Alligator mississippiensis: one gene and its partners. The protein of the gene in region 3 purifies or fractionates together with the protein of the main gene of each other region. This does not show direct contact. Links are inferred from orthologs where the notes say so. Each region holds a gene or a part of one and is shown on either strand. Other genes may lie near its edges.

Evidence for each region. Proteins that work in one complex are often made in the same cells at the same time.
Region 1: the proteins of OTUD5 (region 3) and YAP1 purify together in Homo sapiens (affinity purification with western blotting; 3 studies listed by BioGRID). This does not show direct contact. The link is inferred for Alligator mississippiensis from reciprocal best matches to the Homo sapiens genes OTUD5 and YAP1.
Region 2: the proteins of OTUD5 (region 3) and DNAJA1 purify together in Homo sapiens (affinity purification with mass spectrometry, with the first as the bait; 3 studies listed by BioGRID). This does not show direct contact. The link is inferred for Alligator mississippiensis from reciprocal best matches to the Homo sapiens genes OTUD5 and DNAJA1.

The regions. Positions count from the first base shown.
Region 1 is NC_081824.1:441,911,229-441,919,214, reverse strand, and holds the start of YAP1 (transcriptional coactivator YAP1), read left to right. Parts: upstream 1-4,938; 5' UTR 4,939-5,069; coding exon 5,070-5,387; intron 5,388-6,181; coding exon 6,182-6,432; intron 6,433-7,986. Other genes in the region: CFAP300 (cilia- and flagella-associated protein 300), read left to right, coding at 4,297-4,422. UniProt on the Homo sapiens protein: Transcriptional regulator with dual roles as a coactivator and corepressor. Critical downstream regulatory target in the Hippo signaling pathway, crucial for organ size control and tumor suppression by restricting proliferation and promoting apoptosis.
Region 2 is NC_081826.1:152,767,838-152,774,793, forward strand, and holds the start of DNAJA1 (dnaJ homolog subfamily A member 1), read right to left. Parts: upstream 3,049-6,956; 5' UTR 3,004-3,048; intron 2,851-3,003; 5' UTR 2,838-2,850; coding exon 2,706-2,837; intron 2,306-2,705; coding exon 2,128-2,305; intron 424-2,127; coding exon 319-423; intron 116-318; coding exon 1-115.
Region 3 is NC_081831.1:28,453,052-28,460,547, forward strand, and holds the start of OTUD5 (OTU domain-containing protein 5), read right to left. Parts: upstream 3,086-7,496; 5' UTR 2,362-3,085; coding exon 1,735-2,361; intron 460-1,734; coding exon 366-459; intron 1-365. Other genes in the region: KCND1 (potassium voltage-gated channel subfamily D member 1), read right to left, coding at 6,135-6,303, 7,093-7,307. UniProt on the Homo sapiens protein: Deubiquitinating enzyme that functions as a negative regulator of the innate immune system. Has peptidase activity towards 'Lys-48'- and 'Lys-63'-linked polyubiquitin chains. Can also cleave 'Lys-11'-linked ubiquitin chains (in vitro).

The DNA.
Region 1 (7,986 bases), on a different chromosome or scaffold from region 3:
AATAAATAGGGGGAAAAAATCCACCCTGCTCTTGTTTGAGGGGGGGGAACTGGCATTGCAGCAGGTTGTAAAATTTGGCAAATATGGGTTATTTTAGATGAAGGGAGAGGATGTTCCAAAATTCTGGGCTCTGTAAGGAGAACAGGCTGCAACTTCCTCTTATAAACCTGAGACTCCAGCTTCAGGATTTCCAGTCCCTACATATATGAGGTCATTTCCTGGAGTGAGGCGCAGCTTGTTTGAATAAGCAAGTTTCAAATGAGTTAAATGTACAGTCAAATCTTCTTAAACTCCATTGAAAAAATATGAAACAGATAGTGCAGATCCTAGAGCATAACTGACTTTGTGCTCTTGATGAGAAACTCTACTAATCAAAGCTGCACTGGTTTCAGTTTCTGAGTTGACTTTAAGGTGTAGCCCTGTGCACAGTACTTTACTGTAATCTAATCTAAGGTGAAAAAGGCACGGATCATATTTGTAACGTTTACTTCTGAAAGAAAGAGTCGCATCTACTTAGCCTGACAGAGATAAAAGAAACTCATCCTGGTCACTGGTGCCATCTGATAGTGTAACAGCAGCTGAGAATCTAACAGAACCCCCGTTCCTCAGACTGGAATAACAAATGATGAATACATGTCCTTAGCAAAAGGAGATAAAATCCTCCTCATATCTTTTGGCTGCATTTTCATTATCAACATAACTTCCTATTTACCTGGACCCTGACTCACTAATTAGTCCTCTTCTATAGATCAGTCTCTACAAAACACTAACTAGTTTAGATGATAAAAAAAGAGCTGGAGCTTTGTCTTAGTAACATGCCGAGCAATCTCATACCTATCTGTTCCATATGCTTGTTGGATTTATAAGCATTATCTTGACAACATGTTGATGTGAAAGTTGGTGATTAAAACACATAATTTTAGAAAGTGCTGCTATAAGTTAGTACTACATCTGCTTTAAAACTGCTTTTTAAATGTAATAATCTGATCTTGAACAAAATATTCAAAACAAGTGGTTTTCAACCTATGGCCCATGGACCCCTGGGGGTCTGCAGACTATGTCTAAGGGGTCCATGAAAGATGATTATGTTCAATCAAAAGTATGTGAATACCCACATTTACAGTTCAAAGGGGTCCGCACCTCCATTCATAATATGTTAGGGGTCCACAAATGAAAAAAGGTTGAAAACCAGTGATCTACATATATATGTATACAGCTTCATAGTACAGAGAGCACAGAGGAAAAAAAGGGGAAAAGGAAGTATTTGAAATCTTATGACAGTGTATATTTCTGAACTCTGAATGGTTTAAAATGTTCAGTGTTTGTGTATAAGTAAACTTCACCATGAAGAAATCTGAAACAATTGTGATACTAAATAATAACAAAAGAGTTTCTTAAATGCCAAATCAGCCCATCAGTGCTGTTGGCATCACTGTAATAAAACACATATTCCCTAGTTCTTTTAGAAGACTATTGATAAAGTGTTACATGTTTTCTTGAAGAGATCTTCAACAGTATAATTGTTTCCACAGTATTTCTCTCATATGCTGTCTGAAATCATCAGCAGATTATCTGTGTTTCTCTAAAGCCAGCAGCTTTGGATCTAGTTCTGGCATCACTACATCAAGTGCATGTTGCAGACACACCACCTGTTTGAACTTAAAACTGCAGATTCTTAATTTATGTATAAGACACCCTAATACTAGAGTGATGAGGCACTGATATATGTAGATAAAACTGGTCTTAAACTAGTTTAATTAAAAAGAAAGAAATTTGGTCTAGCTAAAATGAACTGAAAAGCTCCCAGGAGCAGATCCAAAGGGGCCCAGTTGCACTTCGTTTTCCAACCACACAGTGGGAGCAGCAGCCAGGGATTCTTTTTTAAAATCCTCAAATTGGGTAATAATTGCTCTCCTGCCCTCCACTTCATGTTCAGTGGGATGTCACCTCCTCCCCCACACCCCTGGCTGCTTACCACTAGTGCTATCCCCAGGTGCCCCAGGAGCAGGGGGAAATTCCAGAGCCTTTGCTGTCCCACTTTAGCCAGGCTGCCCAGGGAATTGGGCTCAGTTCAGGACAGTGGCAGTGGTGGTACCAGATGAGTACCTCTTCTCTGCCTAGGACTCCCACGTGTACTCTGCCAGCTTGGGAGCAGGCTTATGGAGGCAGACCCTACCTGCCATCACTGCTGCTGCTATCCCTGGCTAAGCCCAACTCCCTGCAGAGCCCAGCTGCAGCAGGGCAGGAGAGGCTCTGGAGCTCCTTCCTTCCCTGGGACAGCTGGATAGTGGGGACAGTGGCAGCAGGGGGCAGGGGAGAGGAAATGCCACTGAGCATGGAGGGAAGATTCTTACCTGATTTCAACACTTAAAAATGTGTTCCTATGGCATGGACTACCTGTCCTGCTGGAGTAGGGGAGAATTTGAGAGCTGGGGTACAGCTAGTAGTTGCTGCTCCTGTACCCTCCCCCCACTTTACAAAATTCAGGATCTGCCCCATGGAAGCTCCTCACATCATATGCAAGGGCACCAGTGGACTGGACAAAATGGAGATGGAACTATAATCCAAGTTCCTCTTCCCAGGTGAGTGCCTTAACCATCTGGGTAGAGCCATGCTCTCTCTTTGGCCCAATGCATGTTGAATTATTTTATTTAAAGTACAATAGTTGCAAGAGGATAAATGGAGGTTTCAGTCCCCCTAGGTTCATCTAAATTTCCCACTTTTTGCATGAGCCTGAATTGTGCACGAGGGGAGCAGCAGCATTCATCCCCCATTCCCCACACGTGCATTAAAAAAAAAAGTACCTGCCCCTTCACTTGTAAAGCCTCTTAGGAACGCTTTGAAAACATCTACTAAGAGATAGGCAGAAATCCAAGGCTATCTGGATGTAGTATACCAGTAACTCTGCTCATGCAGTGCCTGGAATAATTAACAGAGGTCTAAAAACAAAGCTAGTTACCTCAGGTGCAATGCTGCATGGACATGGCTATATTGCTTCTAGTCTGGGAGCTAGCATGCAAAAGCCGCTGTTATCCCTACATAATGGTTGGACCCATGTAGCTGTACTCTTGGGCTGCTTGCAGATGTTTTAAAAAAAACCCCAAAACTGCTTCCCCAGAAGCAGCAGCATGTTACTTCCACCCAGCTCTGCAGCATCTGTATAGATTAGGCACTTCAGCGGGGCTTTTTCGTGCTTTCATCTAAAGCTAAGTCAATCAGGTAGTAGATGAAAGTGCCCCAAAAGCCCCACTAAAGCACCTGATCTATACAGATGTTGGGTGAGCCAGGTCCAACTAATGTGCTGCCTCTTTTGGACATGTGCTGGGCTTTGTGCAGGAGCCCATCGGGTTTAAAGCAAGGTGCAAGTGGCCCTGGTTTCTAGATCTCCCATATGCTCAGGTGAGGCAGGTGCTAAGTTACTCAGCCCTGTTAAGATAGAAGCACTTTGGGGTATGGTCAGTAACAGAACTTGAGAAGTGAAGGACTTCAATGTACAACTTACAGGACAGGTGCTTGTAGGACTAGGCAGCAGCTGAGTGTGATTTATAGAACTGCACTTTTGGTGGAAATCACATTATTTACTCAAATCCAAAACCGTGAATTGAAGATGACCCCCACAATAATTAGAGTCTATACATGGCAGAGCAGGGAGTAAGGAATCAGGCAGTAGAGAAAGCAGGTGTTGTGGGGGTGGTGGAAGGGAGCAAGCAGCTTGTCCCCCACCACCTGTCCTCCCCCTATTTCAACCCCTGTGCTTGGCCCTTACTCCCTCTTACCTCCCCAGCCCCTTCCCCTCCTACTTACCTTTGCTCCAGCCCTGGCAGGCTCTGTCCATGCTGCAGCCTGGGGCCTGGAGCATGGGGTGCAGGTGGGGTACTGGTGCCACAGGGCTGGGTCGGAGCCATGCTCCAAGCCACAGCAGGAGATGGTGGCAGGGGTGCAGAAGAGCAGAGAGTGCAGAGGGGCAGCACCGGTCAGAGCCAGACACCCAGCCCTCTCCTGCCCTGCTCGGTTCCAAGACGAGGGGCTCCCCCATGCAAGGGGAGGACATCTCGTCTTGGGCCCGAGGCAGTGGGGTCGGTGCCCGAGGGCTGTCCTGGCTTTCAGCCGCCTGGCAGCTCAGCACAGCACTACCCTTATCGGTCCAGAAAGGCTGGAGAGGAACAGCTGGCGGGAGCGATCGGCAGGGAGGAGCTGCAGGGCAGCAGGTCAAGCGCTCCGGCCGGGCGGGGCGGGGCAGGGCCGGGCCGGGCCGGGCCCAGCGCCTCACGCCGCCTCCTCCTCTCGTCCCCGCAGGGCGCGGACGGCAGCTGCTTCCCGGGCCACGACCGGCTGAGCTTCGCCTACATCAGTGTGGACCCGCGGCGGCGACACGTGCACGTGCTGTCCCACTGCGCCGGGGCCGCCTCGCCCGCCCGCTGACTCCGCGCGGGCCCGGCCACAATAAACCTCCTCTCTTCGCCTCGCCTCCGTCTCCGTCTGTCCCCGCGGCCGGCCGCTCCCGCACCACCCGGGAGCCCCAGCCCGAGCCGGTCCCTGTGCAGGCCCCCCACCCCCGGCGCGTCACGCGGGTCCCGCCGGGCACCGCCCCCCGCTCCCGCCCCGCCCCCGAGGCCGAAAGTTTGCTGCAAAGTTTTCTCGCTCGTTTAATTTTGCGTTGCACGGACGTCCCGGCAGCGCCGGCCCGCGTGGGCGGGCGGGCGGGCAGGCGGGCTGGGTGGGTGAGTGAGTGAGAGGGGCGGGCCGAAGTCCGGGGACGCGGGCGGGCCGGGTGTGCGGGACAGCGAGCGGGCGCGCCGTGTCGAGCGGGGCAAGACGGAGGGGCAGCGCCTGGCGGGGCTGGGCCGGGCTGGGCGGGGCGGGACCCGGCGCGGGCGGGCGCGGACAGGGGAGGGGGCGGGGCGGGTGCGTCTCAGAACTTTTGTTTGGCCTCTTGCGCGACTTAGTTTCCGCCGCCGCCGGGACGGAGGCGCCGGCCGGGCTGGGCTGGGCCGGGCCGGGCTCGCGGGGCGGCCAGAAGCGGGAGCCCCGGCGGGCGCGGGCTCGGAGCCGCTGCAGCAGCAGCAGCCATGGATCCGGGACAGGCGCCCTCACAGCAGCAGCAGCCGCCCTCGCAGGCGCAGCCCCCGGCGCAGCCGCCGCCGCAGCCCGCCGGGGCTGGGGCCGGGGCCGGGACGGGCGCGGCGCAGCCCCCGGGCGCGGGGCCGCCGCCGGCCGGACACCAGATCGTGCACGTGCGGGGCGACTCGGAGACCGACCTGGAGGCGCTGTTCAACGCCGTCATGAACCCCAAGGGTGCCAACGTGCCGCACACGCTGCCCATGCGGCTCCGCAAGCTGCCCGACTCCTTCTTCAAGCCGCCCGAGCCCAAGGCCCACTCCCGCCAGGTGAGGCTCCCGCCCAGCCCCTCCGCGGCGCCCCCGGGGAGCCCGGCTTTGGGCCCGGGTCGAAGCAGCCCGGGGGCTGCCCCCGCTGCGGGGAGGAGGCGCGCTGCCAGGCTGGGACGTGGCCCGGTGCCATGTCCCAGCCCCGCTGTCGCAGCTGTGCCAGTGGAAGAGGGCTCCCCGCCTGCGGCGCAGTAGCTAGGGTCTTCCTGCTCGCTCGCGCACACAGCAGAAGTTTTGGAGGGCTTGACTCTCCTGCCCACGCTGGCAGTAATAGCCTTCCTGGTCCCTTTGTGGCAAGGTGGGGACTAGATTTCAAGTGGACGGGGATTTCGGCCCCTGATGCCTATAAGGAACCAGGGGTGCAGCTCACTTTTTTTTTTTGGATTTGCTCCTTGCAAGATGCGTGTCAAATGCTACCGAATCAAAATGGTCGTTTATGCTCTGTTGGGAACCATGATGCAACGCTCAGGGCAGTGGTGCATCAGGCATGACAGCGGGGGAGATGGGATCCTGCTCAGAAAACTGTAAGGCTTTTTGTTTGTGCGTTCAAAGTTTACAACAACAAAAGGTAGACGAGAAAGGTTGATAATTTATATTCCCCATGTCCTGGCAACAGCTTAAAGCTTGCTTTGACTTTGTTTAACTTGCTTTGAGCGACGAGCTAACAGCATTGAAACAAGTCAGAAGTTTGAAAACAACTTCTTATACCCGAGTCTCTCGCAGACAATTCAGTAAGGTCAAAGTAGGTGTGTTTCTGCTGAAGTATCTTAATGGGAACTGTTTACTCCCAACAGGCCAGCACTGATGCAGGTTCAGCCGGAGCCTTGACTCCTCAGCATGTCCGAGCTCATTCATCTCCAGCTTCGCTGCAGCTGGGAGCTGTCTCTCCGGGGACCCTTACCCCCTCTGGAGTAGTGACTGGTCCTGGACCTGCCTCATCTTCTCAACATCTCCGTCAGTCCTCATTTGAGATCCCCGATGATGTTCCTCTGCCACCAGGTTGGGAAATGGCTAAGACACCATCTGGCCAGAGATACTTTCTTAAGTAAGTAAAATAGAGTTATAAAAAACAAGGTTACATTTTTTAACGAAGCTCACTGTCCATGTTTAAGAACCTTTGTGTATATAAGAATATGTGCCCCTTTAATATATCAAATACATTTAAAAACTATGGGTCATGATTTTCAGTAGTATAGCTCTTTATCTGATTTGAACTGGGGGTGTAGATGTTGAACCCTGAAAGTTATGCCTAGGTGTGAGAAACATGCCTCATTCTTGGCATGTCTCATCTTGGATTAGTTATTTTTGGGCGTGTTTTTAAGTCTGTTGTAACATATAGTAACTTTAATACTTGGAGTACAATAAAGCAAGGTCATTTAAAGGTATACTTTGGGTCAGTATTTGGAAAATTGCTGAAAATGGATATCAAAGATTAAGAAACTTTCAGCAGTATTGCAGTGAGAATACTGGATGACTGCTGATTACTTTTTTTTTTCTTTGGAAGTACAGTGTCAGGTTCCTATGAAGTCTTATTGGTACATGAACCTGATGGGGCCTGTAGTTCTTAAAACTAACTTTGGAATGAAAGGTGAATGTTGGAATTCTTAAATGTTTTTTGTTTTCACTACTTTGGCTTTTTAAAGTAGTGAAATTAATATAACTTTTTCTCTTGCTGAAGAGGTTACACATGCCAGCACTCTGACATGTCATCCATCAGGAGATGCTCTGTAGAGTTTTCTAAAACAGCAGAAGCCTGTCCTCCTTTTTGCAAGTGTGTGCACAACTCTCGTTCAATCACTAGGTTTCAAGTAACATATTATTTGTCACTTCAGATTTGAAGGGACGGAACCACTAGCATTAAAAAAAAATTATATTCTTACTACCTTGCTAGTCTAAAAAGTGTTCTAAACTTTTTTGTGGTTCCATTTGCTGAAATAAAATATCCAAGCCTGAAATTATATTCGCAGAAGACCTTAATATCTGTGGCTGGGACATGCTTTCCATGTAACTGCACTATGGCTCAGAATGAAATAGGGACCTAATTCAATGCCCATAGAAGAAGCCCCCTTGAAGATTTACCATTGTTTCCTATGAAGCACAAAGTTTGTTCTTATGAAATATTTTGCCTAATTTCACTGTTAGAATTAGGCAGTTTTATGCCAGTTGAGAATGTGACCCACTGGACCTTGAAGAGCAAAACATAGTTTTCATATAATTCCAAAACTTGTATATTATGCTCGTTATACTCTTAACTAGCTTAAATAGAACACGACAAAGATGGTATTTAAAAAAAAAAAATGCTCTATCTGTAGTGCTAATTATTATTTGCATTTAGATCGATGCTTTAAATTTTATAGAGGGAGCATTACAGTTGTTGTGGTAGACGAAAAGAAATCCTTGCACTCCTATAATTGATTCTTTAATTATGCTCATTTAGGTGAAAGCAGAGGGAAGGATTTGATCTTGGAAAGCTTTTCTACAGTTTCGCTATTATTACAGAAAATCTTCCTTTTTTCCTGCAAGTTTTCTTTTTTGTCTGTCTTGGTGTCTTGGTATCCATTTCAAAGAGTCAGGTTTCAGCAAGAACAATAAAGAGCCT
Region 2 (6,956 bases), on a different chromosome or scaffold from region 3:
CAGACCGACTGGATTTGCTGAACCATTCCTGGTCCTATCTGGTGAATTCTTATTTGCATGCCTGTACCTCTGCAGTTGGGACAGCATTCCACTGCACCTTTCTTACCACCTCGACCTGATAACAAGACAGCAGAATGAAAGGATTTGACAACTGAAATGAACTCCAAATAAAACATATCAAAAGTACACTTATTTAGTTTATTGAAAACAACTGTTTTCACCTGAACATAATTTTTTGTAAAGATAAACAAAAAATGAGTTAGTGGAATTCAGTTAACAAGTTCCCTGGAGTTCTAGACTGTAGTACAGAAAACTTACCTTCACATTTGTCACAAATCACATTCTTTTGCAGAGCCAGTTTTCTTGTTGCCCCATTGTACAAGTCCTCTAAACTTACTGACAACTGATGAACAACATTTTTACCTGTAAAAAACACACTCATTATTCCAGACTTTGTAATTCCATGCTAATCAGATTTTGTTCTCTTATTTCTCAACTGAAATCAACTAAGACCCAATTCTTCAGAACATAGCACATTTACTAAAGGAAAATACTTTAACACAAGCCAACTGCCCATCAGGAATGACAGGGTATAGGGACAAAGCAGGCAGGGTGGGGGATAGGAGGGGAGGGAGGGAGCTTGCTCCACCATCCCATGCTGCCTCCAGGGAGCAAGGCTCCATCTCTGCCATCATGGCAGCACTCTGCCATCATGGCAGCACTCTGCCATGCACTGCCTCCTGTCTGGAACACTCTTGGAGCACTCTGATTGGTTGTTTCCCTCAGTATTGTGATTGGTTGTCTCAGCAGCCAGTCAAGAGTGCAGATACAGCATTACAGACAGACTAAGGCTTTTATTATATTAGAATACATAAAAAAGCAAGCAAGCATAGGACTCATAACATAGCACTATTAAAGTACTAACAATAAAAGATAATGGTCCTATGCTAACATTTCCCCCCACCATTCAACATGGTGGAGAAAAAGCAGCAACTTCTTACTTCATGTAACATGAAATTTGGAGTCTATGGCTGTACTGTTTTTTGTACTAGTCACACCTTGGTGCATGTGCGCGCGCGCACACACACACACACACACACACACACACACACACCCCCCCACCCACCCCCCGTAAGGAAGAATTATATAAAGATGTGTTCTAGTTAAATAACATTAATCTGTTAAATCACTTAAAAAAGCTTAGGCTAAATTAAGAACTAGACAATTTAGTGCATTATAAATACGATGAAATAACCACCTCAAACTATAACTTCCAAACCTCTAAATACTGGAAGCTCTAAGGGAAGAGGGAAGGGAGACAGATCAGTCCAAGAGGCCCTACATAAGTTTTTTCTTGCTACTCTGCTACAAAACAAGGATACCATCCTAGGTCAGTGGTACTCTATATTCTAGTCCTGCCAGCTGGATCCGATGCATGGAATCAGTCCCTAGGCTAGATCCAAAGGAGGGTCAGGCTGCAGTTATGCCAGCCCAGCCCCACACACTAGATCTAGTGCATGGGGGCATGTCACCCGACCTGCAGGGCACTCCACAGGTTTAAGACTAGAAGTTGGAAGTATGGCAGCTGTGGCTGTATTAAAGTGCTGTAACTTAATCCAGAGCAGCAGCAATTAATGTTTCCCCTACCTCCCCACAAGATTTTCAGGCCTCCAGGGAGCCCCATGCAAGACATGCCCCACCACCCAAGCTGGAGGTTGAGCACCACTGCCTTAGACGGACCTGTTCCGACCCAGAAGAGTATTTATGTTCTTTAGAAAAGTTTGGCACATACAGTTAGCTTAATCTTCAAACCTCAAGTTTTAGACAATGACACCACTGATGTCTTGTGACACCTACCTATTACTATTCATACAAAGTTAGTATTATAACTCATTATACACTAAACATTCAGAAAATAAGCTTTAGATTACTGTGATAGTTTTCTTGTTTTCAAGCACCAGCATAGGAAAATTGGCACCATTTAGTTATTAAAAAGTGTAGCCACTCCATCTTTGTCTTTTCTTGAACTCTAACAGAAGCAAGTATGATCTCTCTCAACTGTATTCAGGGAGGGTCCGGTATATGCTCGACTGCCAGTGTACCCAACATGACAAAAAGGTTGCATACCTCGCCTCTCTCTTTGCATTCTTCCACCTCCTCCAAAGAACATGTCAAATATATCCATGGGGGACCCAAAGCTACAGCCAGAACCACCCTCTTTAATGGCCTGCTCGCCTCCTTTGTCATATAAGTCTCTTTTCTTGGGATCAGAAAGAACTTCATATGCTTGAGAAATCTGTTTGAACTGCAACAGAAGCCAGCACATTAACTAAATCCACAAGGAGATGTGACAAAACCAGACATTTCCCCCCCCCCAATCCCTTTAACACCAACAATTATTAGCTTTAAAACAGCAGCCCATTTGGAGCTGGTGAACAAACTTCAACCGAGCCAGCCTTTACAGGGGAACTTTCCCCACCCCCCGTTCCCGCTGTGCTCAGGCACAGCCACAACCAGAAACCCAAGCTGGGAAGAGGCCTGGTGCTTCTGCTGCATTCCTGGATCAGGGACCCGAGCAAAAGCACCCACAGGGAAGCCCTGCAGGCACCTCTCATAAAGAGAAAGTGGGAAGAGAAGAGAGACGAGGCGAGGCGAGGCGAGGCGAGGCGAGGCTCCCACCTCTCCCCTCCCCCCCACGTCGCTACCTTCTCGCCCTCGTTGGGGTTTTTGTCGGGGTGGTACTTCAACGCCAGCTTGCGGTAGGCCTTCTTCAGCTCCTCCTGGGACGCGCTGGGCTTCACGCCGAGCACATCGTAGTACGTCGTTTCTTTCACCATCGTGAACGGCGACCTGCGCGAGCCGCCTCCGTCAGCCGCGCAGCACCTCCCGCGCCGCGCCGCGCCTGTCCCAGCAACCCCGGGGTCAAAGGGCCGACAGCGCCGCGTGGGCCCCAAGGCTGCGCCCCCCAACCCCCACCCCGGGGCGGCAGCAGCAGCGCCCTACCTGGCTGACTGGCGGCGCTGGCTCCGGCGGCTCCCGCGGCCTCCCGACTTTTCTGGAAAGTTCCAAACAAGGCTCGGCATCCGGAGCCTTTTGTAGCCGGGGAGGCCCCGCCCCGGAAGCTTCGTCCCCTCGTTGCCGGGTAGCCGGGGGCGGGAGGGGGCGGAGCGCGGGAGCGGGAGCCAATGGCAGCCTCTGACCTCGCTTCACCCCGCCGACTCGGGCCGCCCGGCTACAGCCCCCAGCGTGCGCTGCGGCCGCTTGGCGGACTACGACTCCCAGCGGGCGCCGTGGCCGAGTGGGGTGGTGGGGGTGTGGTGCATGCTGGGAGTTTTGCCGCCCCGCGCCGCGGGTTGTGTGATGTATTTCCTGGTTTAACCTTGTTTCCAAACGAAGCACCTGAAACACGGGCGGGGCGATGCAGAAATGAGGCAAAATGCCAGAGTTGCAAGTTTCAAGGCGCCACCGCTCTCGGGCTGGCGGTAGAAGCGCTCCATGCAAGGAAACTTGGGATGCCGCCCTGCACAGCCGTGCATTAGCAGAGCCGTGACTTTATGCGGGACCGGTAACGAGGTACGTTTTGTACCTCGTTAGGGGAGAAAAACCCCGCAGATACACCTGCTGGGCGGTGGCTAACATAGCTCCCCGGGGAGCCTTTGTGTGCACCAAGTATTCCTGAGGAAAGAAAGGCCGGATTTCCGGGGCTCAGTTAATTCAATCACAGACTTCCTTTTATATCGTTGCACAACCTGCCCGCTCGGTTTGAAAGATGGCAAATGAGCCCCCCCCAGCACTGAGCGGAGGAATAGTTCAAGGTGAAACTAGTTCCATTGGAAAACACGGTGGGGGTTCACCACTGTAGGCAAACACCATAAGAACAGAAATGCGAAACCGATTGCGATTGCCCTAAGGTGAGTGACATGCATACAAGTAAAGATAAAACATTGTAGATTATGACATTTTATTTTAGCTGGATGCCGTTATGGCTTTGTAATCTGAAGTAGTTTGATATTCCCAGCATTTACTTTCTTCCTAAAAGAAGGGCCATCCAGAAGATAATATATATGTAAATAAACAGCCTTCCAGAATTGAGGGCTGGGAGAGGCCCAAAGCCTAGCTATTACAAAGTAGGACCCCAAAACAGAGATGCTTAATACCCAATTCAGCAGCAGATTGTGTGCCCTTATGTGGAGACAGCTGAAATAAAGCAGGCTCAGTAGCTAGTAAAAATGGTTGAGCACCTTGCAAGAGCACATCTGGTACAAGTATATATGCTGAATGCATATTGGACTGCTTTTTAGCCCTCCCTGCTGTCTTTGGGTCGACAGGACTGAAATAGGTGATTTCTCACTTCTGTTCAGTAAGCTTTGTGAAGCGAATCAGTGGTCTCTTGTCATTTCTAGAGCATAGATATTCTGCTTGTAGAAATCTGGATGTGGAAGGGCAGGCGCCATATTTCCTCTGCTTTTGCACAATGCTGAGCATAAGTAAATGCTCAAACGATAATTGCTGTGACTGTCAGCAAGAATGCCTGAGAGGCTGAAGGTAGAAGTTCGCACACATTCCTATAGCACCATTTCCTGCTTTCATCTTGCCTTCAGTATCAGAAACTGAATTTTAGAAAGCCCGTCCCTGTTGGATCGTGCAGCTTGATTATCTCTTTCATTCTCTGCTGCCCCCCCTGCCTTTTTTTTTTTTTACTCAACACACATTTCAGAGTGCTTGAGGGATGTCCCATTATCCTGCTGTGTATCTGAATCATCTTCTATTTTCCTCTTCTCACTGAGATCTCTACAGCTTGCTCCACCCTGGGAAAATCCATTCCTATGCTTGCTTCACCTGTCGCAACCCAGTAATACTTGTCATTTTCCTCCAGCTCTTTCCTACTGCTCCATTTTCCCACTGTTCCTGCTGTCTTCCTCTACCAGCCCTTGGCAGGACTTCTTGTCCTTCAGGCGAGGATGCTGGCAAGAGCATGAAGGGAGACTAGGGAAAGGGAGGGCAGATTGTGGGACAGTTGAGAGAGCAATAGAAAAAATGCGCTCCTTGTCACGAGCCTTATTTAAGGGGTCTGTATGCTGTGTTCTGGTGGGAGGACTTTATGTAATAAAATGGCCATGAGTGTCTAGGGGCATGTGTAGATGAAACAGGGATTAATGTTGAGCGCACCTGAAAATTTTAACCCGGCTTTGTTTTGGTGCGGTGCGTTTGTGTTTGCACGACATGGCGCTTTTGAGTGACTTAAGTCTCCTGTGTCATTGCCTGCAGATTCAGTAGGGGGAGGTCAAATACCAATATACCCCCACCCCCAATGTCTTTCCTAATGTATTACAGCAGGAGGCACATGTAAGCCTGCTTCCCCTGTCCCCGCCCCTGGCCTCTCACTGGGAGTCTCCCCCGGGCACAGTCACCCCAAAAACCTTGTTACTTGCATCCACCTATGCTCGGTCGGTCGGTCTAGTCTCTCTCCGTCAGTATGCGACCCCAAAGACCCCCATCACAATCCCCATTCCAAAAATAAGCCTTGTGAATCCTCCCATCCTGTTCCTTTCCCTTCCCATCCCACCATGTTACAAATACATGTGCTTTTTCTTTTATTTACTTTATAGCTGCTATAATACCACCAAATGTTCAGGGTTCAGAGTAGTGGGTGGGTGGGTGTTTGTTGCTGCCTAATTGACTGGCAATTGCTGTCGATGATGCTGGTGGTGGCAGTGAGCAGGCGAGCTCTTCTGTGGTTTATTGTTGTTGTTGTTCTGGTGTTTTTGGACTACATTTCCCAGCATCCCGAGCTCACTGATCTTCATGCAGTTTTCAGTGGGGGCTCCCATTGAAACCTTCCAGTTCCCTGCCCAGTACCACCGTCAGTCTGTTTGTGTAGTGTCACATGGCTTTTGGGGGTGTGTTATGAAATGTTTTATAAATGTTTTTGAAAATGTGGGTTGCTGTTCAGCTTCGTCCCCCACCCACCTAGCCCACCAAAAGCTATAGTTAACCTTCTTGCCCACATGGTGGGGGGGGCTTTTTCAGATGTAGGTGATAGTGTGTAATGCCCCCCCCACAAACCACTTACAGGCTGGAAGCAGCAAACCCCTAGCCCAGTCCACATTTCCTACCCCTTCCCCTGACCGTCCTCCCCTCTAACCCCCCCGTCCGCAACACCGCACGCCCTTGTCTACAGACACAGATTTAAAGTGCAAATCAATTTATTTTAACATAACCAAGAGAAAGAACAAAGCGCTCTTAGGTGTTGTTGTCAGTAATATATCCCGCCAGACAATCATGCACAAGGGACACCCAACCAGCCTCTCCTTGAGGATTTCTCCTCAGTCCCTGTGCTGCTGCAGCCTGGACACGTCTCTGTTGTCTGGCCACTGCCTGTTGCGCTGCTTCTTCCCGCGACTCCTTGAAAATCTCCATGGCTCTCAGATACTGTGTAGCATGCAGACTGCCACTACAAAGGCCATGATATTTTCTGGCTCCATCTTGAGCTGGCACATAAGCGCCCTCCGTCGTCCTTTCAGTCAGCCAAACGCACATTGCACGGCCATCCTGCAACTGCTCAGGTGGTAGTTAAAAAATCAGCTTCTGCATGTTGGTGACATTCCCTCCATAAGGCTTCATGAGCCAGGGCTTTAGGGAGTAGGCAGCATCTGCTAATACAACCGGGGAACAGCAACACCACGGATCACTGTCTCCTCCACGCCAGGTGCGTAGTGTCCTTTCTCCACGAGGCCAGGCAGAGGGGAGTTTCTGAACACACATACATCATGCGTGCTGCCAGCCCACCCAGTATAAATGTTTGAGAGCCAGCCCTGGTGGTCCACCACAGCTTGCAGGATCATGGAGGCATATCCTTTCCTGTTTATGAAAGCCCTCCCCCTCCCCACAGGGCACAGCACTGGGATGTGAAATGCCCCCATGCAGTTAGGGAATCCCTTGTCATTGAACCCATC
Region 3 (7,496 bases):
ATGCATCCACCTTTAACATGTAAGGCTGGGGAACAACAGAGTATAATACTATGAAGGAAGAGCCCAGATGTGCCTAACTCCTGGGTAGAGCAGGACACAAGGAGGGCAAGATGCAGCCACCCCTGGGGTCAAACACCATAGAGGGAGGGCCAAGATGCACCCAATTCTGGTGTGAAGCAGTTTAGAAATGGCTGCATATAAAAGGACACAAGGAAGGTGATATGTGCCCAGCTCTGGGGTTGGGCAGTTGAGAAATAGCTAAGTATAACACTGCTTGGTTTCTAGCCCCACAACTCTGCCAGGGGGTCGGACAGGGGGAAGCAGATAAGGGCCTGGGGTGCAGATGCAGGGTAGAAGCCACTCACCCACAGCCCGGAAGAGACAGGCCCCATCTTCCTTCATCTGCTTGATAATGAAGCCTTTCTTTTCTCTCAATGCCTTCTCAAACCTGTGCTCCTGCTGGAGGCAAGAAGGGTGGAGTCAGCAACTGGCCAAGCCCCAAGACCTGCCCCCTGGACACCACCCCCACAAGGCTGCCAAGCTCTTCCCTTCTGTGGCTCACACCCCCATATACCCCACCAGGGTCCCAGTGAGAGACTCAAGCACACAGGGAGTCCAGAGTCTGGGGCCCACCTCCCTTTGTCCAGCATCAACACCAATGCAGATACCCAGCATCCAGCACCCCCACCTGCATAGACACTGAACCCAGGGGCTCCTCCCTAACCCTGGCACACGCATGAAACCCTGGTGTCCAGGCACCCCCAGTCTCAGAACCCAGGTGTCCAGCATCAACATTCACACAGAACCCAGGCATGGGGGGCAGCTATACCTCAGCTGCCCCTCCTCCATCTCTGCTCCTCCCAGATCACACAGGGGCTACTTCACCCCAGAGACCCCTCCTTTTTCCTCCAGGTCACACAGGGGCCCCCACTCCTCCCCTCTCCCCCCACCCCAAGATCATACAGGGGCAGGGTCCTCTCACACTGGAGTTGCCCCCTAACCCCAGAGACCGCCCCCCTACCCTCTCCTCCCCTCCCCCACACCACACAGGGGTCCCAGCCAACCCAGAGACCCCCCCCATGCCTCCCCTTCCCCCAGAGACAACCCCCCACCCCAACACAGCCCCTGCAATATCACATGGAGGAATATGGGGTCCCCTCCCCCAGAGTTTCCCTCAATCTCTTCCCTGCCCCAGTCCAAGAACCCTCCATTCCCCCATATTGTACATGGGGTGTTCCCTTCACTGGAAACCCCCCTCCCCCAGATCACAGCTTCTCCCAAATCACATGGGGGCAGGGGACTGTTCTCACCCGAGCCCCCCAAATATCTCCCCTTTCCCCCCACATCACAGCCCTCCCCCAAATCACATAGGGCCTTCCCTACCCCAGAGATCACCCAATCTCTCCCCTCCCCCACCACAGACCCCCTTCCCTGACAGTACACAGGGGGTCCCTTTACTCCAGAGACCCCCCCCCCCAATCTTTCCCCTCACCTGATGCCCCCCTCCCACAGATCACAGCCCCACTCATCATATGGGGAAGTGGGTGCCCCCCCAATCTCTCCCCTTTCCACACATCACAACCTCCATTTCTCTCCTCCCACACCCCAAATCATACAGGCGAACCCCCTCACACCAGAGACCCCCCCCATCTCTCCCCTCCCCAGACCCCCGCACATCTCCCTTCCCCACAGGGGTTCACCTCCCTCCACACCCCCACAGACCCCCCTACCCACCTGCTCAGCCGCAGCTGGATCCCCGCTGTCCCCTGGGGGGCCGCCCCCGGCCCCCCCCCCGCCGCGGGGAGGGTCGTACTCGTCCTCACTGTTGTAGCCGCCGCCTGCCTCATCCCCATCGCCGGCCCCCAGCCCTAGCCCTAACCCTAGCCCCAGGCCCAGGCCCAGCCCTGCTGGCCCAGATCCCCCCCCGGAGGCGCCGCCGGGCCCGTAAGCCAAGCCCAAGCCCCCCCGCCGCCGCCTCTTACTGTGGCCGGGCCCCGCGCAGCATCCGCCCCCCACGCCTCCGCCGCCCGCCCGGGGGTCATCCAGACCCAACCCGGCCTTGGCCTCGGGGGCGCCGGTGGTGGGGGGAGGGGACGGTGCCCCCCAGCAGCGGGGCGGGGGAGGGGCTGGGGGGGGAGGGGAGGCCCCGCCCCCTGCCGAGCCCACGCGGGGGTCCGGGCTCCCTCCCGGCCGGGGGTCACTGCCCCCCCCCACCCCGGAGCTGCCTGCCGCTCCCCCTCCCGCCCCCACGCGGGGGTCCGGGCTGGGGGGCCCCCCAACGCGGGGGTCTCCTGCCCCCCCCACGCGGGAGCCTGGAGGGTCGGCGTCGCCCCCCGGCTTCTTCTTGGGGAGGATCGTCATGGCCCGCCCGCTGCCGCCGCTGGGCTGGGAAGGGGGGTGGGGTGGGGGAGGGGGGGGAGGACCCGGATGTAGGGGGCTAAGGGCTACAGGGGGGCAAGGACCCGGATGGAAAAGCTAAGGGGAGCCGGGAGAAGGGGTTAATGGGGGGGAGACCCGGATGTAGGGGGCTAAGGGGGGATCCCCGGATGCCAGAGGTGAGCGGAGCGGAAGGACCCGGATGTCAGGGGCTAAGGGGAGATCCCCGGATGTCAGGGGGTGACTAGAGAAGGGAAGGACTCAGAGCTCGGGGGCCGAGAGACCCGGATGGAGGGGGCTAAGGGGGGGGTCCCCTGATGTCAGGGGCTAAGGGGGGAGCAGAACCCGGATGTACGAGGCTAAGGGGGCACCCCCCTGGGGGATCCGGCTGAAAGGGCTAAGGAACGCCTCCCTCCCCAAGGAGGGGGAGGGGCGCAGAACTGGATAAGGGGGGGAAGCGCTCCCCGAGACCCCAGTCTCCGTCGTATTCCCCAACCCCCGCGGCGGCCCGGGGGGGGGTGCAAGACAGCAGGGCAATTAGCCTAAAGCAGACCGATAAGGAAGGCAGCAAGCAAGCAAGCAACCAACGCCCCCTCCCCGCAACCCTCCCCCGTTCCTGGGGTCTATGGAAGGTTTTTGGCCCTTCCCGGCTTCCGCGGCGGGCCCTTTGCGCTCGGCCCCGGCCTAGTGTCAACATCAACACAACCGGCCTCTGACCCCGGCGCGTTCACTTCCGCCCCTACGCCCCTTAGCAACGGAACGTCAAAAGGGACGAGACCCCGACGCGCCTGGGTAACAGCGCCACCGCTTATTGGCTACCGGCCCACAGCTCCGCTGTCATTGGTCGATGGGCTTGGAGGAACGCGTTTGGGATTGGGGGGAGAGCGCCACAGTCAGAGCCGTGTCCCTCCCCCTATCCTCTCGTTCCCCCTCCCACTTCCCATGACAACAACCGGGGTCGGCGGGACTTGGGTGACCCTCCTTGACATGCGCTCACTGATTGGTCACGGCGTAAGGTCGCCTATGCTCATTAGCTAAAAGGCCCCGGACATGCATGTGATTGGCTGAGAGGCAGAAGAGCCAAATCTTATTGGCTTGGGAAAAAGGGGGACTAACCTCCGGTTGGCTGGAGGGACGCTTAGGCCCTGATTAGCCAGGGGGAAACAAGCGTAATCACTGATTGGCTTGAATGGGTTTAAGGGAAATTCCGCCTCGCATGTGAGGGAGGGTTGGAAACAAGATGCTCGCAGCTGATTAGCTAGGGAAAGAAACCTGGACGCGATTAACTGAGGGGCAGAACACCGGTTTATGATTCGTTGGACAAGAACATTCTGCGCTCTGATTGGACCAGAGGGCAAGTCCTCATCTGACTGGATGGGAGCAAATTGCCAATCAGACACACAATGCCCGGGCTTCAAGACGAGCGCGCAGGGATGTGGGGTTTGTATTCGCGGGGGTGAGGTGGGGAGCATATTGGCCCCCTGATTGGATCAGACGGCTGTCACTTAGAAGCAGGCCCTGCCCCTTTTCTTCACTTCTTACCCGCTCCAACTCCCCTGCCAGAGAACCCAGGCGTCCCAGGTCCCACCCCCTGCCCTGCAAATAATGACTGAGCTGTGACATGTCACCAGTTCATTTATTTGCTCAAACTACAGCAGCATAAGCCTCATTCCTTGGCAACGGGCAGGGAAGGCACCCCCCCATCCTGACCCCACCCCCAGCTCCAGGCATGGAGGTGTTAATGATCCGTTGCCCCACCCCTCCCTGAGCCAGGCTTTTATGTATCTGTATATAATACCTGTCTCTATATGTATAGAATTTTCTTATTTTTTAAATGTCTAACAGGAAAAAAAAACCGAAGGGGAACCTGAGTTGAACTTACATTGTCAGAGCTGGCGACAGGACCCAAGCATACAGGAGGGAGGCGCCTCCTGTTGGACTCCCCTTCCTGAGCAGGGAAAGAGCCCAGGTCTCCAGGCTTGTAGCGCCCCCGCCCCACTTCCAGAGTGGGCAGAGAGCCCAGGCCTCCAGGTTCCTCTGACTCAAAAAAAAAAACAAAAACAACCCGGGCTTCCGAGTCTAGAAAGGACCCAGGTGTCCAGGCCTCTCTGGCTCCAGGAGGCCCCTCCCTTGGGCCTCCAGCTCCCAGCCAGCCTGAGGACAGATTCCAGACAGGGGTGCAGGTGGGGGCAGAATCTCTGCCCACCCCCAGTGGCCACGGAGGCAGCTGCATTGTGCTATAGAGTATTTTGAGAAGGGGGCAGGGTCCCAGTCCCTCCCCTCCATTGGTGCTGCCCCCTACCCTACCACAGCCAGTCTGGGCTTGACACAGGTGTCTGGGGCCTCAGCCCTCCCACCCTTGCCCCAACTCCTCCCTAAGCCAGGCTAGAACCTAGGCATCTGGGCCCCTAGACCCCCATGCCCCAGGAAACCTGGGGAAGGGAACCCAGGCATTCAGGCCTCTGCCCTCCCCTGCTGTTGCACTAGTAGGGGGAGGGGTCACGGTTTATGGTCTGAGCTCAGCTTCTGGTCTCTGGAGGAGTCATGACCCCTAGGAGAAGGATGACCTGTGAGGTGAGGTGGATATGGGGGGTAGGGGGTGGGGTTCTCCCCCTAGTGCATGCTGGGAAGGAAGCACCCCCCTGGTGGCAACATGGACACATGCACAGTCCTGCTGTGAGCATAGTAGATGGGGGCACCATGATGTGTGCAGGTGTGGGGGGGCCTGAAGAAGGACCCAGGTATCCTGAAGGAGAGTATCCAGGCATTGCAGGTTCCCATAGCTGGTGACAGAACCCAGGCACCAGGCCCCTTCTCCCCCCAGGCTCCCATGGCTTTTGGTTAATGAGTTCCAGGAGTGGCCCATGTCCTTGCGCCTTGGGAAATAGTTCCTCCCTCCCCAGGCTTGCATAGCTGACCCTGATATATGGCTTTGCTTGTGAAGGGGGCTGGTCTAAAGAGTAGCAGGTGAGGCAGAGGGCCATGCCCCTCCCCCTGCCTTTCCTTTCCAGACCCATGGGAACTCAGACATCTGGGTTAAGGTTGCAGCACACACCTCCTGCCTGCCCCACACAAGAAGAACCCAGATGTCTGGGTAAAGCTGCTCCCTGGCTGGGAGGAACCCAGGCATCCAGGAGAGGAAGAACTCAGGCACCCCAAGCTGGAGGGATCCAGGTGTCCGAGGCAAGAAGAACACAGGTGTTTGGTACAGGCTATGCTCCTAAGCAGGTGGGATTCCAGGTATCCAGGACACGAAGAACTGAGGCATTTGGGATACAAGCACAGGCATTTGGTACAGGACATGCCCCTAAGCAGGACGAACCCATGTGTCCAGGGACTCTGGCTTCTGGAACAGGAAGAACTCAAGTGTCCAGGACAGGAGGATCCCAGGTGTCTGGAGAAGACAGGACCGTGGCATCCAGGAAGGCAGAACTAAGGCATCTGGACTGGGTAGAATACAGGCATCTGGGACGGACGGAACCCAGGCATCTGGGACATGAAGAACCAAGACATCTGGGCTAGGCAGAACAGGGTCCAGGCTGGGCAGAATACAGACACCTGGGACGGGCAGAACCTAGGCATCCGGGACCAGCAGAACCCAGGCGGCTGGGATAGATGGAACCCAGGCATCTGGGTTGGGTTGGGTAGGGCCTGGGCATCCAGGATGTGAAGAACCCAGGTGTCCAGGATAGGTGGAATCCAGGCCAATGGAACCCAGGTGTCTTGACGCAAAGAACCCAGGTGTTCAGGGACTCCCCTCAGAGGGAAGAGATGTGCAGGGGAGGGGGCCGGGGTGCCGGGGGGGGGCTCTCATCAGGGGTGTTGGCAGGGGGTGTGGGGATGCTGATGATGGCTGCTGCCAGTGCTGCTGCCTCGTAGCTCAGCTTCAGGGTATCCGGTGCTGGTGTCGCATTCAGGCTGGACCGGCTAGAGGGAGGGGTGGGGGGCATGAACCCAAGCGTCTGGGCTCCCAGCTCCACCCTCCCCCAAAGTTTCAATGGCTGCCCACTGGATGGCAGCAGAACCCAGTGTTTCCCAACACAAAACTGATAGACATAGGCTGCAAACACGCCTGAGCCATGCAGTATATACATGAAGTACATGCCACAGAAGTGCCCGGAACACAGGACACAAAACTGAGAACATGCCAGACCCATGTTGAGCCAGTGCCATGCACACATCAACTGCACACCAAAAACATTTTGGGATCATGGTAAGCATGTGCTGTGAACATGGTACAAACACACGAAATACATAGAGCACATGCAAGAAAATAGGCTGTGCTCACACCTGGAACCAGGAACACTTGAGCATCCCAAGCACATACCAGAAAGTCATCAAGCACATGCAGGGAAAAAAACTAGGCCCCACACTGGAAACATGCCAAGCCCACACCAAGTCCATACTCTAAATATGCCACCTGCTGGTGCAAGTACACCATGAGCATGCCAGGAACATGCCAAACCCACACTGCAAGCATGCTGCACACATGCCATGAACACACCATGAATATGCCAACCACACGCTGGGAACATGCCATGAGCATGCTAGAAACATGCTAACCCCAATGCCAGGTGCACTGAGAGAACACACCAAGCCCATGCCACAAACATGTTGGGAACACACCAGCCATACCATGGCATACCCCAAGAACACACCAAACACACCGCGAATATGCCAAGCACACCCTGTGAATAGTCCAAGCACATGCAGTACCTGTGAGCTGGCCCCTTGAGGCCCTGCAGGGTGCTGAGCTCCTGGGCAATGGCCCGGCTGCCTGATGGGGTGGAACCAAGGCGGAGGGGGCGGTGGCGTGGTCGCCGGGGGCAACAGGATCCACCCGGAGATGGGGCCCCACTCGAGGACAGCGACAGGCTCCTCCCTGACCGTGCCCCTGGCGACACCCCCCGCTCTGCTGCAAACTCATGGTTCTGGGGTGGGGTCAGAAGAAGGGGGCAGGGCAGGGAAAGGAGGGGTATCATTTCTAGGGCAAGCCCTGACCATACTGACCCTCACTCCCACCTAGGACTAGGGTTGCCAACTCTGACCAAAGCTATTCCAGGAGATTTTCCCCCCCCCAACATGATGTCATGTCATTAATTGTACTGTTCAACCCCTTT